3 linked regions of the Bombyx mori genome follow. The protein of the gene in region 1 interacts with the protein of each later gene in a biochemical or structural test. Links are inferred from orthologs where the notes say so. Each region holds a gene or a part of one and is shown in the gene's direction. Other genes may lie near its edges. The genes, in order: ubiquitin-like modifier-activating enzyme 1, Ubc13 and ubiquitin-conjugating enzyme E2 C.

Region 1 (2,680 bases):
AACTCTCACCGAAGAAAATTGCAAACCAGTCGGTTCACGATATGATGGACAGGTAGCTGTTTTTGGTAGAGAATTCCAAAAGAAACTTGGACAGCTGAAGTATTTTATTGTGGGTGAGTATCTGGGACTCTGAACACTTTTAAAAGGATTGATTGATTGACACGTGAGGAGAATGATAATTATTGTCATTCTCCTTATGTGCAAGACTATTCTGGAGTGAAAGGCTCCCATGGTCAACTGATATCTATTCTAGTCTTAATTTATATCACACACTGTATTTTTAATCTGCAAACAAATATTGTTACCATCCCTTGGAACTTGACAAAATTTTCTAGCATCAGTTATTCTGTAAATATGTTATGCTGTTTGGGAAATTGCAACATAAAGTAATAAGTAATTAAAAGTAAAAAGTAAGACTGACGTCGTTGGTCGTCGACTATCGCCTCGACGACCCGTCGGTCGGGCGTCCTCGGGGTGGCGCCGCGTGTCTGGTTGTAGTGTTGACCGCGGGAACCCCCCTACTCTGACCGGGTTTTGACCCCAGACGGAGATCGGACGCCAGGTGTAAGAGTGCAGGGGAGTCGTTTAGTGGGTGGGCCCGCGGTCTGCTCTCAACACCTGCAGATCGTTGAGTCTCACATACCCCGCGCGCCCCCTAGGCGCGGGGACCTCGTAGGAGGTTCGGCCCTCGGCCAGGAAAAAAAAAAAAAAAAAAGGGTTTCACACTCAACTTTATGGAACCTGTGTGCTCTCTTACATATATGGAACATAAATAATTCTGTAAACTCAAGATTGGTAATTTACTAATGAATAATAGTCAATATGAACTATCTGTATGAAGCTACACAAAATATTAGTATAGTATCATATGAAGTTTATCTCTTCAGGTGCTGGTGCTATCGGATGTGAATTATTAAAGAACTTTGCCATGATTGGTGTGGGTGCTGATGGAGGACAAATTACAGTCACGGATATGGACCTCATTGAGAAGTCTAACCTCAACAGGCAGTTCTTGTTTAGGCCTTATGATGTACAGAAACCGAAATCTAGTACTGCAGCTAATGTAAGTTGCTGGATTCGTAATGACATTTGAGATCACTTGTGTACTGCTATAGAGAGCACAAGAGTAGCCATCTACACAGGGTTTGCTTCGAGATTACTCCCTGAACCAGTGAATTTCAGTTTAGTTTCAAATTCAATGTATAAATGTTTTTGCTCGCCTAAGTTTTAATGTTTCCCTAGTTGGTTTCAGATATTACACAATATATATTTTTTTTACTTTATTGCTTATATGTGTGGACGAGCTCGCAGCCCACCTGGTGTTAAGTGGTTACTGGAGCTCATAGACATCTACAACGTAAATGCACCACCCACCTTGACATATAAGTTCTAAGTTCTTAGTATAGTTACAACGGCTGCCCCACCCTTCAAACCGAAACGCATTACTGCTTCACGGCAGAAATAGGCAGGGTGTTGGTACCTACGCGTGCGGAGACACAAGAGGTTCTACCACCAGTAACTATAAATATATACTGTAATACTCAAATACTTTTAATATATTTTTTTTGTCATAGGTAATTAAACGCATGAATCCAGCAGTAAATGTTTTGGCACAAGAAAACAGAGTTTGCCCTGAGACCGAGTCCGTCTACAATGATGCATTCTTTGAAGCATTGGATGGTGTAGCCAATGCACTCGACAATGTCGACGCCCGTATATACATGGACAGACGGTGTGTGTATTATAGAAAACCTTTATTGGAGAGTGGCACTCTTGGAACTAAAGGAAATACACAGGTTAGTAAAATCAAAAGCATTTGAGATACAATTTGAAATAACATGAAACGTTGAATAAAATTAATTGGTTAATGATCAAATATAAATTAGAACCCTAAGAGAAAATAATAGTTATGAATTGATTTAACGTTGTCTAGTACTTATACTGGAAACACAAAGATTTTTAAGTATCATTAACTATTCAAACTTGGTAAATTAAAAAAAAGTTGTTTTGATACTGATATCTGAATCTTCACAATCTTTTAAACATAAATCAATAATATTTCATAATATATAAGTAAAGAAAATATTAAGCAAGATATAATCATATCAAAAGAAATAACATTAATACATCAGTAATTTACGTTTTAGGTGGTTGTTCCATTCCTTACGGAATCTTACAGCTCATCCCAGGACCCTCCCGAGAAGAGTATTCCTATTTGTACGCTCAAGAACTTCCCGAATGCCATTGAACACACACTACAATGGGCTCGCGATGAATTCGAAGGTTTATTCCGTCAGGCTGCTGAGCATGCTGCCCAATACTTGCAGGACCCGAATTTCTTGGACCGCTGTCTTAAATTGCCTGGTACTCAGCCTTTGGATGCTATTGAGAGTGTGCGAGTAAGTGTATATAACATATTTTTTATTACTCGTAGTAAACATACTGTCTACCTAATAACCTGATCACTGCCCTTCAATACAGCTATGCAAGAGTAACGACTATATTAAAGTACTACGCCTTCTCTCATTCAATGTTTCCTAATATCAGTTAACATGCACAGACAAATTTTAGAATGAAAACCCTTCCAAAATGTTTTCCTGTTACTATGAAGTAAAAGGTTGTAGGGGAATGATACCCCGCCCTGCTTAGCTGCTTGCTATGTATTTATAGTAATGAGCAA
Region 2 (2,922 bases), on another chromosome or scaffold:
TATTAAACAACCATATTAAGATAGTTAAGTTAAATATAATATGTCTATAATATATCGATGATATAATAACCTTATTTGTCATTGATAACGAGAATTTGTCTTAATACTGAAGATTCTACACATAGATGTTCTAAATTTAATGAAACAAAATTAGACATCTGTTGACGAGTAGCTGACATCACGTCATTTTTAAAACTGTATTAGATGTCGCTGACCGCGGTCCTAAGTGATTTTATTTAGATCTGTTCATTAAAATAACATTTTCACAATAGGTTCATAATAAATACTAATTTGTTTACGAGCCTACGTTTTTCACATTTATCATTTTCTGTCAGCTGAATAAAAAATATACGTTTCATAAAATTTTGAACAGCCTGTAACTCTCATTTTTAAAAAATCATGTGCGCCATTCACTCTCGGTAGAAACGTAAGATTCAGAAGCATATAAAACACAAATATAATAAAAAACAAGTTCCGAAACTTTCGAAACAGTTTTAACAACTTTCATGTAGGTTCTCTTCAATTAAACACGCTTTCCTGTTTGGATTTTATATTAAGGGCTGAATACAGTTCTTCCTCTCTACTATTTTTCTATTACTGACATCTTTCATTCTTCCCTTTTTTTTCATAAGCTCTTTTGCGCCTTCTTCTAAATAGATTGAAGTCTGTATAACAAGACAAGTTAGTTTTAGCAGGCTTCAAACACGGCACAAGTTGTATAACAATGTTGTGTGATTCCTATTCAGTCCCAGGTACTCAACCTAGTACAGAATTTTATTCTTTTAATAAACAATTTGTTTTTGTTGTCTTAAACTAATGCATGTTTATTTAAAAGGCTTTTTTCCAGACATCTATATTGAACGCACCCTATTCTAAATTCTACATTTTGTCTATGTTGGTGAAAATCTATATTATCTGTGGTTAAAAAAAACTAAAGAACACTCGCTTTTGTAGTCGCGTTTATTGCAATTTCGTAGATAAAATGCTATTGTAATTCATTAATATAAGGAAACGTGCCTCAACAAGCGTCGTTAACACATTCAGTGCTAATATAATTAGATATTTTATACAATTATATGAGTAATCGCTTCCATTTGACAAACTGCGCTCGACCGCATATTTAAAATGGCAGCCCTACCACGTAGAATAATCAAAGAGACACAGCGATTGATGCAGGAGCCGGTGCCCGGGATCAGCGCAGTACCTAGCGAGACAAACGCCCGTTACTTCCACGTTATCGTGACGGGCCCAGAGGACTCGCCTTTCGAAGGAGGACTGTTCAAATTAGAATTATTTCTACCGGAGGATTACCCCATGTCGGCACCTAAGGTTAGGTTTATCACGAAAATATATCATCCTAATATAGACCGACTGGGCCGCATTTGTTTGGACATTCTTAAAGATAAATGGAGTCCAGCTCTACAAATACGCACGGTGCTACTGTCTATTCAGGCTCTGCTGTCAGCACCTAACCCTGACGATCCGCTGGCGAACGACGTTGCCGAATTGTGGAAGGTGAACGAGAGTGAAGCTATTAGGAACGCGAAGGAGTGGACGCGGAGATACGCCATGGACAACTGAATAGCCGGCACGAGAGCACCGGTGCCGACCGTGCGCGCCACACGACCAACGAGATATCACGACTTATGAGTGCAAGTTATGTTACACATCCTAAACAGAGTAACTTGTGAGAGACTATTGTGGATCAAATTTTTATTATTAGTGGATGAGGGCCGCGGCGCCGGTCCCTTTGCAGTTATCCATTGCCTCACCTTGTTCGCCTCGGAACGGCTAGGCGATCCCACAGATCATTGTTTACCCATTCACATGTAGCTTGGTTACAATATTAGGTATGCATATTTTTTTACTATTAATATGAATAGTGAATAAAGAAAATATACCTGGAGTCTTCAATGTATATATTATGCTGGTTTAAAATTAATTTTGTACAGAAGATAGTTTCAATTTGCAAAGTTTGATTATCTATGCCAGAGACTTATCGGACACAGTCTTACTAAAATTTGATTGTAACATCATTTAACTGATCTCTCATTGAAATGTTTTTTGTTTTTTTTTTTATAGAACAATGATTGCATTTAGGTATAATTTTCACTTTATTAACCACATCGAACATGATTTCACAGTGAATCTTATGTTGTACTATTTACGTCTTGTATAAAAATTATCAAAATAAATTGTATTTATGTAAATTTTTAATTTGGCTTCGTGAGCAACTTCAAAATACATGAAATACAAAAAGCTAACCCATATTTTATTTTTAGTGCAATACCATCACAAAATAGGATTCATTAAATTAAAATAAGGGCCAAACTCAAGTAGCAATTTACAAATTAAAAGCATTTACTGGAATCGCGTTGATACCTTGCAACATGCTCTTATAATATTGAATACATTGGACCAATGGCTATCAAACTCTTCTAAGTAAAGGGTGATTGCTTTATGGCATCAATAGGCATGATGGTTGTCATTACGTTTAAAGAATCTATCAACAACAGTTACAAAACAAACTTTGAAAAATTAACATCTTTTTGAATTCACCTCTACACCTCTGAATTTCAACTAGAAATAAAGTGCTTATCCATTGATCAGTCAGTGGGTATAGGTTTGTTAGTTCATTGAAATTTAAGTAAAGACACAAGTTAACTGAACAGTTGTCATTGCAACTTAACGAAAATGTAATATCAGAAATGTTGATTGAATGATTGTTTCATATTGAATTAAGCAACCGTGATGACATATTGGTCGTAAGCCACCAATAGCTCATAAGTGCTTTAGACCATAATAACTCAAATTTTATAATAACAAAATATAGATGGTATTTATGAACCAAAATCAAAGTTTATTATTTGTACTGTAGTTTTATATTGTTAAGAAGAAAATATTCAAATCACATTCACATTT
Region 3 (3,769 bases), on another chromosome or scaffold:
CCCCTGAGAATATTATGCTTGAAACTCGGCACAGCCGCGGCCTGAAGTTATAGGCCACCTAAATCTCATGCCGAACTCTTCGACGAGCTCAACGAGCATCTACAGTTAATTGCCATTATTTATATTAAGACAATGTGTTAATTTTTAAACATAGAAAGCGAAAGATATAGAGATTTGTATAATAATATAGTTAATAAATACTAATCTAATTATAAGTTTACATTTATTCGTTGGTTAGTCGTCGCTCAAGCTAACCATTAACTGAAGTTAGTATAATTTAAGTCTAGCTGTAGCCATGGGCTTTGAGTAGCTCCTTCACTTTGAAGTAGAAACTCACTTTCCCACCAAAATATGAATAAACAAAAACGCGCCATGTTGTTCGGATTACCGCCTCCACTACAGATATTTTTGTACTTTATAGTTGGAGGAATTCACAGCTCACTCAAAACCCATAAGCACCCGACGTGAATGCCACTCTACCCAGCTTGGAATACTTACAATTGTGTTGTAGAGTTGCTATCCCATTTCAAACCAAGACACATCATGACTTAAATAGCTAGGGATTATCATGACTCAAATAGCAGGTAGCTATCCGTGCAGGCTCACTCTCTACGTACCAGTAATTACGAAGACTAGGTAATGATAAAATGAAATGAGATATGTAATTAATAAGATGAAATAATAAAATGTTTCAAAATGAAATTGTCTAGTAAACTAATCGAATATTACTCTGGCTAATCTTAATTTTTCATTTGGACATATTTATCTAAACTTAAACAGAACAAACAAACAGAACTAAAAAAATCAATACCTACCTAATCGCCTCTTTTATTCTAGTAATCCTATTTAAAATAGCATACAGGTACTATTACATTTAAAATGCGCAAACAATTTTTTAACTTTATCGGGCACATTGTATTAGGCAAAAATTAATACGTTTAAAATTTCATCGTCACATAAAAAGTACTAGGCCAAATTTAAAAAAGCGGGTAAATGAAATCTAAATTTTGAAAGCGATTATCATTTTGAAATTATTTGTGACATGAAATTATTTTATCCACATGTTATAGTATATTCGGATAATCTTATGTTTAAAACTATAATGTTCAGTTATTTATCTTGATTTGACCTATTTAACATATTTATTATGGTTTATTTCAGACCACCTTCTAACATATTCGAGATTAGTGTAAATCAGCATTAAATTATTTTTTCAATTGACCGTGTAGATGGCGCTTTTTAATACGTCAATCAAACAAAGGCCGCCATTACATTGCACTGTCAAATAACGAGATTACCAATAAAATCGTAGCTATTTCAAATTCAACAGGAAGTTGACGACGATTAACTGAAAAATTGGTGTCCCTTGCTATTTTAAGAAAGTGTTCATTTGATTTCCTTAAAATATTATGGCTCAAAACATCAATCCACATTACGCGTCGTCTTCGAACCCAGCTAAGCAGAGTGAAGACACGATTAAACTAAAAGACAATCATGCTGTGAGCAAACGGTGAGTTTTATTATTTTTACCACAACTTTTTCGTAATACCACGGCAAACACCCACGTAGACAACATACAATACAATTAGACTTGCGCAAAACATCACTTCCCAATGTAATGTGATATGACATCACTTTTACAGATAGGTGATATTACTCGAAAACATTACACATCACTCTTAACATTACTCGGTGCGTTCAAAGTGATGTGTATAAACACATCACTTAGGTAATGATTCGGGTGTATAGATACAATGTATTCGTCGTCACAGTATCTATTGAACGCACCGAGTAATGTTAAGAGTGATGTGTAATGTTTTCATCAATCATTACCTAAGTGATGTGTATAAACACATCACTTAGGTAATGATTCGGGTGTGTCATTACAATAGTGTATTACAATACAAAGTATGAACTTTGTATTGTAATACACTGTTATATTACTTGACAGATTGACTTACTTAATAATATAATAATTTTATTTTTTACTTAATATAATTTATTGTGGGATGAACGGATTTCATATGGCGACTTAGACTGCAAATTGAGCTCGACAATAATGTTAATATACGAGAGCAGTAGATGCATTGTTTCGGTGCGATATCCTCAAAAATATCCTCAAAAATCCAAGGAGGACTGTACTTTCATCTAAATGAACGTACGTCTAAACGCCGTTATTTCTTTCACTTATTAAACACGCATTAAAACAAATAATAAAACTATCTTCAAACAAGTGCTTAAGTAATTCAAATCAAACACAAAAATTAATATGAAATATTACTAAACAATTACGAGCGACTAGCGATTTTACAAAAGTTGCGAATAAAAAATTAAGTAAGTACTTGCGGGGAGCTACCGGCTGGCCGCATGAAAAATATAAACACAAATACCTATATTAAAATTCAGACGTACCATAGGTATAAAAATGTACCTAGCGGCCAGGACATATGGTTCAAAATCACTAGGAATAATTCCGTGTCGCTTGCTCATTTATTTTGCGTCGATCGGTCTGTCTCGCTCGCTCGGTTCCGTTCGTGTATTACACGACAAAGAAAGAAACATGTTGGGTGATAGTGTGATGTTTGTTTCCTTCGCGTAATGTGTGATGTTGCATTACATCGTAGAGTAATATTACCCGAGTAATATCACTCGCATTACTTACACATGTCTAAATACAATATATTTTGGTCCTTAGTATCGAAGTAGCGATTTGTGTCTAACGGTTTTTTTCCCACGAAAAAGTCTCGATTATTCTGTTCACTTGCATTATTGTTGGTTTGGGCTGTTTTAAGCACATTATGTAAATGATCATTTAGTGCATGTAATACAAAAGCGCCGAAAAAGTAAAAACCAAATAAAACTATTACACTTTACATAATGTGGTAAATTTAAAAGCACAGTTTTTAGCAGGTATAGGCATTCTCATTGGTTAAAGCGATAATTTTACAATAATTAATGTTCAGTAGGTAGGAATAAGTAAACTTTTTAAAAAGGTTTGTTAATTAGTCACCTTTTCTACATTAAATAGCATCAAGAGCCTTAGACCTTTAGACGCTTTCTAATTTGTGAGATTCTTAAATGTAAATTGTTTATATAGAATTACTTCTCTAGAACAATTACTACCATGTGAATGAATATACCTCCACCCAGAAAATATTGCAAGTGATATAAAATTTACACTCACACTACAACATCAGTCATTCCACATATGGCAGCATCCTATTTACCAAACAATAATTCTGCAAAAACAGAAATTTTATGTCATTACTGGTCAACTAACATTTCATTAGAAATGTTTCAAAGACTCACTACTTAATTAATAAACCTGCTATTAGATTAATGCACTTAAAAAAAACACTATATGCCATTACTTTTGTGTTATAATTTGCATAATTCAACTCATTTTATATTTCTTTTTAATAGACTCCAGAAAGAGCTAATGGAGCTAATGCGGTGCAGTGATAAAGGAATATCAGCATTCCCTGAAAGTGAAAACCTCTTCAAATGGATCGGGACCATCAATGGACCTTTAGAAACTGTATACGCAGGCCACAAATACAAATTATCACTTGAATTTCCAAATTCATACCCGTACGCACCACCTGTTGTCAAATTTATGACTCCGTGTTTTCATCCAAATGTTGACACGTGTGGTTTAATATGTTTAGATATTTTAAAAGATAAGTGGACGGCTTTATATGATGTACGTACAGTATTGTTGTCAATCCAAAGTCTTTTAGCAGAACCAAATACACAAAGCCCTTTAAAC

Evidence for each region.
Region 2: of the proteins of ubiquitin-like modifier-activating enzyme 1 (region 1) and Ubc13, one has a biochemical effect on the other in vitro, tested with the Homo sapiens proteins (10 studies listed by BioGRID, with this or other methods). The link is inferred for Bombyx mori from reciprocal best matches to the Homo sapiens genes UBA1 and UBE2N.
Region 3: of the proteins of ubiquitin-like modifier-activating enzyme 1 (region 1) and ubiquitin-conjugating enzyme E2 C, one has a biochemical effect on the other in vitro, tested with the Homo sapiens proteins (5 studies listed by BioGRID, with this or other methods). The link is inferred for Bombyx mori from reciprocal best matches to the Homo sapiens genes UBA1 and UBE2C.

The regions. Positions count from the first base shown.
Region 1 is NC_085114.1:15,610,733-15,613,412, forward strand, and holds part of ubiquitin-like modifier-activating enzyme 1, read left to right. Parts: coding exon 1-113; intron 114-887; coding exon 888-1,063; intron 1,064-1,574; coding exon 1,575-1,796; intron 1,797-2,147; coding exon 2,148-2,399; intron 2,400-2,680. UniProt on the Homo sapiens protein: Catalyzes the first step in ubiquitin conjugation to mark cellular proteins for degradation through the ubiquitin-proteasome system.
Region 2 is NC_085111.1:2,343,794-2,346,715, forward strand, and holds Ubc13 (ubiquitin conjugating enzyme E2), read left to right. Parts: upstream 1-899; 5' UTR 900-1,125; coding exon 1,126-1,581; 3' UTR 1,582-2,261; downstream 2,262-2,922. UniProt on the Homo sapiens protein: The UBE2V1-UBE2N and UBE2V2-UBE2N heterodimers catalyze the synthesis of non-canonical 'Lys-63'-linked polyubiquitin chains. This type of polyubiquitination does not lead to protein degradation by the proteasome.
Region 3 is NC_085126.1:12,142,894-12,146,662, reverse strand, and holds the start of ubiquitin-conjugating enzyme E2 C, read left to right. Parts: upstream 1-1,164; 5' UTR 1,165-1,409; coding exon 1,410-1,510; intron 1,511-3,423; coding exon 3,424-3,769. UniProt on the Homo sapiens protein: Accepts ubiquitin from the E1 complex and catalyzes its covalent attachment to other proteins. In vitro catalyzes 'Lys-11'- and 'Lys-48'-linked polyubiquitination.